Caenorhabditis elegans: one gene and its partner. The protein of the gene in region 2 purifies or fractionates together with the protein of the main gene of each other region. This does not show direct contact. Each region holds a gene or a part of one and is shown on either strand. Other genes may lie near its edges.

Evidence for each region. The genes of interacting proteins can lie anywhere in the genome.
Region 1: the proteins of fbxa-5 (region 2) and mrps-10 fractionate together in Caenorhabditis elegans (co-fractionation; one large-scale study listed by BioGRID). This does not show direct contact.

What each region holds. Positions count from the first base shown.
Region 1 is NC_003281.10:12,924,563-12,928,422, reverse strand, and holds mrps-10 (Small ribosomal subunit protein uS10m), read right to left. Parts: upstream 1,867-3,860; 5' UTR 1,864-1,866; coding exon 1,672-1,863; intron 1,613-1,671; coding exon 1,466-1,612; intron 770-1,465; coding exon 638-769; 3' UTR 537-637; downstream 1-536. Other genes in the region: npp-25 (Transmembrane protein 33 homolog), read left to right, coding at 2,441-2,557, 2,606-2,744. UniProt on the Caenorhabditis elegans protein: Ribosomal protein required for normal mitochondrial function and normal larval development. Thought to have a role in insulin/IGF signaling.
Region 2 is NC_003281.10:1,336,147-1,342,047, forward strand, and holds fbxa-5 (F-box domain-containing protein), read right to left. Parts: upstream 4,195-5,901; 5' UTR 4,188-4,194; coding exon 4,099-4,187; intron 4,040-4,098; coding exon 3,956-4,039; intron 2,484-3,955; coding exon 1,880-2,483; intron 870-1,879; coding exon 666-869; 3' UTR 549-665; downstream 1-548. Other genes in the region: fbxa-26 (F-box domain-containing protein), read right to left, coding at 4,470-4,664, 4,718-4,887, 4,936-5,411.

The sequences.
Region 1 (3,860 bases), about 12 Mb from region 2:
TGCCATGTTTTTTGGTCTCATTTTATATATTTAATAAAAGCAAACACAATTTGAAAATATAGAGAAAAATGCAACAACAAAGATCTACTGGAAATTTTCAAAAAAATTTATTTTTAGGCTCCGCCCACTTCCTGGATATCCGGAAATTTCAAGTGATTTTTTTGGAATTTTTTTCCTTTCCAGAAAAACAGATATCTCCAGGAAGTGGGCGGGGCCTAATAAGCCGTTTTTTTTTGAAAAATAAAAAAATCCAAAAAAATTTATTTTTAGGCTCCGCCCACTTCTTGGGCATTCGGAAATTTTCAGTGTTTTTTTTGGAATTTATTTTCCAAAATAACCTATCTCCAAGAAGTGGGCGGGGCCTAAAAAGCAGTTTTTTTTTGAAAATTGTTAAAAAATCAAAAAATTCGGATTTTTTTTGGAAAATCCTAAAAATTCAGAAATTCCACAGAAAAAAAACACCTTTTTTTCAATTTTGGCTAAATTTTGGCCGACCAACCAGCGAATTGCTTCGCCCACTTTCCGACCAATCAGGTGAGAGGTCCACCTTTATTATTTCATTAAAAGTAAACAATTTGAAGAAGGAAAAAAAAACGAAATAACAATAAGGATCTACACACTAGAATTTGGTTATAAATCAATTTTTCTGAATTGTCAGCGGTAGTGGTTGAAGTTCGGTGAATCCGACACGCATTCCGACGCCTTCTGGGATGTTTCGTTGGATGTATTCGAGGAATGTTGAAGCTGTGGAGCCAGTCACGTTGAGGATCTGGAAAAAAAAATTTAAGGTGAAAACACGCCTTTGGGGTCACAGAGACCGAATATCATGATAAAAAAATTCAAAAAAATGTTCCTGACTTTATATGATTTTTTGAAAATTGAAAAAATCTCTTTCTTCCCTTCCCCTAATTCCTATTTAAATTACCGCTAATTGAACTTGTTCGGTGGAGCGCACTTGCTCTATTTTTATTGATTTTATTTTATTTTTTCTCATTATTTCACTGATTTTCTTCAATATTTGTGGTTTTTTATCGGAAAAAGAGAGAAAAATGCAAATTCTTCATAAAAAAAAAATACTGAAAATGGGTAAAACTGTAAAATATGCTAATTTCAAGCTAGCTTGTTGTCTCCAGAACTCATAATTTTAGAGTTTTACCCATTTTCAGTGATTTTTAATGAACAATTTGATTTTATCTTGCATTTTTCTCTCTTTTTCCGATAAAAATACGCAAATATTGAAGAAAATCAGTGAAAGAATGAGAAAAAATAAAATAAATTAATGAAAATATAGCAAGTGCGCTCCACCGAACGAATCCAATTGGCGGAAATTCAATTAGGAATTAGGGGGAAAACTGAGATTTTTCTAATTTTCAAAAAATCATATAAAATCTAGAAAATTTTTTTGAATTTTTTTATCATGATATTCGGTTATTGTGACCCCATAGGCGTTTAATTATTTTCCAACCTCAAGTTTAGAAATGTGTGTTCTCGTCTCATAATGCAATTTATATTTTTTATGGACGAATTTCGAGCGCAGAGCCGGCTGAACCCATCGAATATACGGAAGAACTTCGAGACGACCTTGAGGAATCTCCAGGTGTTGGCAGACTTGCTGAAAATAAATGAAAAATGCAATTTAAAATCAAAAAGACCTGAAAAACGTTCAAATACCTGCAAAAACGACGTATATGACTTCAAAACCGCCTTGTCGTGCCCACGATACTCGATTTCAACTGAGCTGTACAGTTTGTCGGGTAAAACTGCTTGAACTTGCTGTTGCTCGGCCGGGTTCACTGTTGGCGCTAATGTTCGGATGCTTCGGCTTATAAGACCAGTTCTGAGGGATGAAGCGAGTTTTAGCATTCTGAAATTCAGGAAATTTTAATTTATTTTAAAATAAGCTCTTAAAATCTATTTGAATAGCGGAAATTTGATTTTAAAAAAGATTAAATTAAATTTTTTATATAAAAAAGAAAACTGTGCAATCTGACGTCACGCTGCTTGCGTACAATGCGCACAACTTGACGACAATTAATTTTATTTTTTATTTCTAGCTAGAGAAATTCTGCAGTTTTTCTTCAAATTTATGAATTTATATCCGATAAAAGCAGTTTAAAACGATTATTATGAGTAAATAAAGTAAAAAATCACAAAAATATTTTCTGTGCAACGTGCCGTCAAAGTGTTTGCGGTCGTTCTCAAGTATTATCGAGAATGTGTGCTCTGCGGCTCCACATACTCGTTAATTGATTTCCATAGAAACCGCTGGTGTTTTCTTTTGATTTTCAATATGCGTTGCCTTAATTTTTGTTTAAAACAGAAAAAAATCGATGATTCCGGAACATTCTACGCAATTTTTGGGCTAATCCACGTCTCCTAACCTCAATTTTTTCCTTTTTTCCCAATTTCACAGATTTTTTTGCAGAAAAACTTCACAAAAATGGTCGAAATTGTCGAAGAACCCGATGATCATCAATCTTCATCCACCGGAGCTGGATCTTCTGGATCTTCGAGTGCCCCACCACCACCACCACCGCCAGCTTATTCCTCGATTTCAGTGAGAATTTTTGCAGTTTTTTCCAACTAAAAATCAATAATTTTCCAGCAATACGTTTCGGCGAACACAATGGAGTGTGTGCTATTCGCCGCACGAGTTTTGACCGTCTTTTTTGCTCTGAACTACATGATTCCGTTTATTGGATTGGTGCCGGCTCATTCTGCGTATTATAAGATCTTCGCAGCTTGTACGTTATTTGGCAAAAGCCTAAAAGCCCGAATTTCAGACCGGGAATTCGAAAAAATTCGAAAAAATTGCATAATTTAGCCAAAATCCCCAAAAATTATCGATTTCTCCGTTTGATTTTCGTCAGACTCTGCTAATTTTTGTCCTTTATTTTGCAAAAAAAAACAGCATCGCACAGAAAAAGAGGCGGGGCGTAATTTCGCAACCCTGCGGCACAGTTTTTTAGTGTTTTTTTTTAAAATTGATTTTTTAAAATTAAAATTTCGATTTTACATGTTTTATTACCCTTTTTCGATAAAATTTTAATCGAAAAAAAGAGAAAAACAAGAAAAATAAAAATTTTATTTAAAAAAAACAATTTAAAAAAGCTGTAGAAAAACCGTGCCGCAGGGTTGCGAAATTACGCTCCGCCTCTTTTTCTGTGCGGCGAAGCTGATTTTTGCAAAATTCATGGTGCATTTAAAGTCGATATCGGCTATAAAAGTACCATAATCAACGAAAAATGTGAGATTTTGCAAAAAAAAATCAACATCGCACAGAAAAAGAGGTGGAGCGTAATTTCGCAACCCTGCGGCACGGTTTTTTTCCACTGCTTTTTTGAAATTGATTTTTTTTTTCAATAAAATTTCGATTTCACATATTTTATTATCTTTTTTCGATAGAATTTTATTCTAAAAAGAGGAAAAATCAAAAATTTTATTTTAAAACATTCAATTTTAAAAAAGCAGCTAAAAAACCGTGCCGCAGGATTGCAAAATAAGCTCCGCCTCTTTTTCTGTGCGATACTCCTTTTTTGCAAAATTCACGGTGCATTAAACGTCGATATCGGCTACAAAAGTACCGTAATCAACGAAAAAATGTGAGATTTTGCAAAAAAAAAAAGCAGCATCGCACAGAAAAAGAGGCGGCGCGTAATTTTGCAACCCTGCGGCACGGTTTTTCCACTGCTTTTTTGAAATTGATTAAAAAAAAACTTTCGATTTTACATGTTTTATTATCTTTTTTCGATAGAATTTTATTCGAAAAAAAAAGAGAAAAACAAGTAAAATCGAAATTTTATTGAGAAAAATGGAGAAAAAACCGTGCCGCAGGGTTGCAAAATTAAGCTCCGCCCCTT
Region 2 (5,901 bases):
CTGAAGCCTCCTTGTTCAGACTCTAAACGATTTTCTGATCTCTTCATATCTTTTTCAAAGTTTCTCAATTTTTTCACCACGAAAAAGCGTCGCGAATGAAAATTTCTCAAGCCATTGGGAGTGCCAACTGTTCACAAACACTTTAAAAGTGTCACCGTGACTGGAACTTTTCTGGGGTTAAGGCAAAGGTTGTGCGAAACGAGCAACTGTTCAAGATGTGCCTACTTCCGCAATTTTTCCCAAAAACTATTAAACTTTCTAGGTTACAATGATCAAAAAACATTGCTTTTTGTGTTAATAAGTTAACTGGCATCGAAATTATTTTCCCCAGTTTTCGATATTCGGTATTCTAATAGTAAGACCGAAATTTTGTGGCTTCAGTTGGTCCTGATTTTTGGGGAAAAAAAAGGCTTCGATGTAACCCAACGAGTGGTCTAATTCCGATATCTTCTTATTTTTCCAAATGTCTCTAGCATTATCCCACAATGAAAATCACTGACGAATGAAAGTTTCTTGAGCCACTGCTCAAAATGTGCCAACTTCCGCGTTTTTCCCGAAAATCTATTTTTATTGGTCTGACGTGAAGTTAAGAACGTAAAAAATTTTTAGGCGAAAATCGGAGTAACATTCAAATTATTAATAAATTAGAAAAACATAAAAAATCATCAAAGGAATCTCACAATAGAAAATAGAAAATACTGCGTTTCCAGTTTTGTACACTTGATTCCAAAAGTGTCGTTATCATTCAAATAATCAAAATTACAAATTCCAAAAGTAAAATCGGGTTTGAAAACTCTTGCAAGCTCAAGTCGATTGTCGCCATGGAATTCGATAAGGCAACTGTTAAATGTTATTCTTTTCATTAGATTCTGTAAAAAAACCTTATTATTATCAGAGCTGAAATTTCCGGCAAATCGGCAAATCGCCGGAATTGAAAATTTACGGAAAATGGGCAAATTGTCGGAACTGGAACTTCCGGCAAATCGGCAAATTACCGGAATTAAAATTTTAGGCAAATCGGAAATTCGGCAAAAACCAAAATTTCCGGCAAATCGGCAATTTGGCGCAAATAAAAATTTCCGGCAAATCGGCAAATCGACTATCTGCCGGAAGGCAAAGCGGCAAACTGCCGGAATTGAAATTTCCGGCAAACCGGAAAACTGCCGGAATTGAAACCGCCGGCAAATTTCCGATTTGCCGGAAAACGGCCTTTGACGAAATTTTTCTGCTAATTGTATTTTCCGCTTTTTTTGTTCGGAAAACGGCAAATCGGCAAATTGGCAAAAATCAAAAATTCCGGCAAATCGGCAATTTGGCAAAAACCAAAAATTCCGGCAAATCGGCAAATCGACTACCTGCCGGAAATGAAATTTTCCGGCAAATCGGCACATTGCCGGAACTGAACGTTTCCGACAAAATAGCCCATTGCCGGAAATGAAATTTTCCGGCAAATCGGCAATTTGACAAAAATGAAAATGTCCGGCAAATCGGCATTTTGACAAAAATCAAAAATTATGGCAAATCGGCATTTTGACTAAAATCAATAATTATGGCAAATCAGATATTTGCCAAAAATTAAAAATTCCGGCAAATCGGCAATTTGCCAAAAATTAAAAATTCCGGCAAATCGGCAATTTGCCAAAAATTAAAAATTCCAGCAAATCGGCAATTTACACATTTGCCGATTTTGTCGACAAAAAAAGTTTCCGAACGGCACCACCTGCATCACATATTGCGAAAAAATGTGTTTTTCGCCGCGGCCGACACTGTTCGGGTTTCGCTGCATACTTTTCAAGAGGCGCGGCTCGCGGCGCAAGGCAGGCACATCAGGCATTTTGGCGCCTACTTGTAATTATAATAAAATGTGTTAATAACTTACATCTCGAATCTTAATCGCACTTTCCAACGGGAAATCCTCCATTTTAATAGTGAACCTCTCAAAGTGAAAAAAGTTTTCGATCAGATGACTACCAAAGGTAAAATTTGAAAATGAGACAATCTTAGCCTGCTTCCACTGTTCCAGATGAGAAATCATTTCAATTTTAATTTTCGTGGCGTGAATATTATTAAATTCCATGTCTTCTGCGTTAAAATACGGCAGAATTGAGAGCAAATCATTGAACGAGAAGCTCCAAAAAATTACTTTTTTCATTTGGACAGGGGCTTCCAAGGTGTTGGTCAGAGCTTGGACATTATAGTCTTTATTCCCAGTGACATTTCGAAGACAAAGCCTTGATGTATGCTTTGATAGGAGCTCCAGATCTTTGATGGCCAGTTTCATGAAGTTTTCGCAGCTGATAGTAGGTTCAAGTTTGTTAAGGGTCACTATAGAACAACCGTCTAGGTTCGAGTAGCCAACTTGATGATTATCCAAATTTAGGATAATTTCTTGGCTTCTCAGTCGCAATTCAATCTCTTTAAAATGAAGCCCAAGTTCATCAACAGCGTATCTCAAGTTTCGGCACACTTTTCGGCACGGTAGCCTGGAATTAATTTTTACACAATTTCTAAACATTTTAAATGTGCAAAAATTGAAAGAAAAATTTGCAAAAATGAGCAAAAATGTGCAAAAAAATGTGCAAAAGTGCGCAAAAAAATGCATCAAAATTTTTTTGGCTTTTTTTTTGATAATCGAACAATTTTACAGTTTTTTGCTCATTTTTTTCACATTTTTTGCACATTTTTTATAAAATAAAAATTTCCGTCAAATCGGCAAATTGCCTGAATTGATAACTTTTGGCAAATTGACAAACCGGAAATGTGACAAATTGCCAAATTGCCGAACTTTCCGGAAAATCGGCAAACTGTGGTTTTTGCCCTTTTTTCCGGAAACTTCAGAGTTTTAATATTAATCGGCAAAATTGTATGCATTCTAAAAATGTTCCTACATCTATTTTGAAAAAGTAAGCAAATTCTAGGAAAAATCTAGAAAAAACGGGCAAAAAATTTGGAAAATGCACGGTTTTTCCGTTTTATAAAAAATCCCTCAAAAAAGTTCCGGAAAATTGGTATTCGGCAAGCGGCAAAGCGGCAATTTGCCGTGATTGAAAAGTTCCGGCAAATTGGGAATTTGCCGTAATTAAAATTTTTAGACAAACGGAAAAACCGGCAATTTGATGGAATTAAAAATTTCTGGCAAATCGACAAACCGTCAATTTGCCGGGATTGAACAGTTCCGGCAAATCGGCAAATTGGTAAATTGCCGGAATTAAAACTTTCAGACAAACGGAAAAACCGGCAATTTGCTGGGATTGAAAAGTTCCGGCAAATCGGCAAATCGGTAAATTGCCGGAATTGATCATTTCCGGCTAATCGGCAAACCGGCAATTTGCCAGCAAGTCGGTAAATTGCCTGAATTGAGATTTCCGGCAAATCAGCAAACTGACAATTTTCCAGCAAATTGGTAAATTTCCAAAAATGGAAATTTCCGGCAAATCGGCATACCGGCAATTTGCCAGGATTTAAACTTCCGACAAATCGGCAAATTGCCGGGAATGAAAATTTTCGGCAAATCGACAAACCGGCAATTTTCCGGCAAATCGGTAAATTGCCGGAATTTATAATTTCCAGCAAACCGGGAACCCGGCAAATTGGCTATTTCCCGGGATTAAAAACTACCGACAAATTGGTAAATTGCCGGAATTGAAAATATTCGGCAAATCGGCAAATTGTCGTGATTTAGAAGTTCCCCAAATCGGCAATTTGCCGGAGTTGAAAATTTCCGGCAAATCGGCAATTCGGTAAACCGTCAAGTTACCGGAATTGAAAGTTTCTAGCAAATCGGCAGATTGGTGAATTTCCAGAATTGAAAAGTTACGGCGAATTTGCAAACCGGCAAACAGGCAATTTGTCGGGATTAAAAAATTCCGGCAAACCGGCAAACCGGCAAGTTAGCGGATGATAAAAGTTCCGACAAATCCACAAACCCGAAATTGGCCAAATTTACTACACTCACCGATCTATGTGCTCCAGCTTCTCCAGAACATGGTCAATAATTTCTGAAGGCAAATCGACAAGCGTTGGGTAAACTGGTGTCAAACTAAAATATATATTTATCACTAGTAAAATTGTATCACTACAACTTCTCAACTTACTTACCCACTCATAAGCCGAATACATTTCATCTCAATCCACATGTCCAAAGCTTTTCCTCTTTTTTCTGTCAGATCAGCCTGTTGGTCGGACATTTTAGTACGAAAAAATGAAACTTGAGTATAAAACTTTTTGAATTCAAGAAACAGCAAATATTTGTAAACATGAATTTTTATATCGTTTTTTTTTTCTGAATACCTTTCCTTTTTCTATGGAAGTTTCGATTTTGACTGAACAAATACTTATGTATATGGTTTCAAGGTTTTGGTATACCTTTCAAATTTTTTCAGGATAAAAGTTTAACAGCAATCGAATTATATTAAGTTTAATGTGTTAAACAATGTAAATAAAAGTTCGAAATAATAAACATTTTTTTATTAACATCTCTTTATGAACAATCGACTACACTGACAGTAAATTGCAAATCTGCCCAAATCGTTTGAATATTCAAAATCACTCTCACCATTATAATCCGACTTAAATACTCTTGAAAGTTCAGATGGATCAACAGATTCATTTGTAATACCAATTTTGACCGCGCACTTTTCGAATGTCTTTCTCTTTAGTAGGTCCTGAAATTGATTTGATTTTTTAACAAAATATCACTACTACAAAAAATACTCACATCTCTGAATTGAATAGCATTTTCTACTGAAAATTTGAGTATGTGAATTTTAAACGTTTGGAAGTGGAACAGGTGTTCGAAGGGTGGGCATTCTAGCTCATAATTATCAAAACGGAAATTCTTCGTGTTTTTCCATTGATCCAATTTAGTGATTTGTTCAAATAGATTATCTAATGGAAAATTGTAAATATTGCGACGAGATATTCGGAGAAACTCACTTGTATCATCCCATAAGTAAGTATTCCACAGTATTATACTTTCCAGTCCTTGAGATTTGAAGTGTGGAAGAATAGAAAGTACAAAATCAAGGGGTACTTTCCAAAATTCTAGTTTCTCGACGTGATTCCATTTTTTGGCTGTTAAAGTCCTTAGAAGATGTTTTGCAGTAAAATACATATCGGTCTTGTAGCATGTGTGAACAGAACTTATATGTAATTTCGATGCGTAACGCAATAGTATTCCAAAGTCCTTTACCGCTACTTTTACGTAGTTTTGTTTTTTGAATATCTTTTCCTGTTTCTTGTAAACCACAGATGTACCTTCATCATTTAACAGTTGATCGTAATCTATAGTGTTGTTGTCCAGTGTTATACAAATGCCACTGTCGTGTATACTCAATACAATTGTGTCAAAATGAATTCCAAATCCATCAACAGCGCGTCTCAGTCCTTGACACACATTACGACAGGTCCATCTGGAAATTATTTTCAATATCCTTAATTGGGTTTATTTGAAACGGTGAAATGCAAATTTTCAACTGCAAAATTCCAGAACTGAGCTAAAGGTGAGCATTCAAAGATGCTCGCAGCAGCACAAATATTGGCAAGTCTGTCGGTGTTGGTTTCAAGTTTTTTAACTTTTTTTTGATTCATAAAAACTAAAAAATTGCCGATTTAAAAAATTTGCTATTTTGACTTGGCCCAATTAGCCATGTACCGACATATTGTCAGTTTTGCTGAGTTGACGTTAGCCAATTTTAGGCAAATGTCAGGCGAATTAGTCGCTTGTCTATTTCGGTTAATTCCGCTAAAACTTTTTTTGTGAATTTTTATGACTTTTTCTATTTGAACAGTCGTTCATCACCGAATTTGCTAAATAACAGTAAAACCAAAATTCTGAATAACCTAACAAAACTAACGTTAAAAACTTAACCAGATGAATATTTTCTGAATTAGCCGATTAGC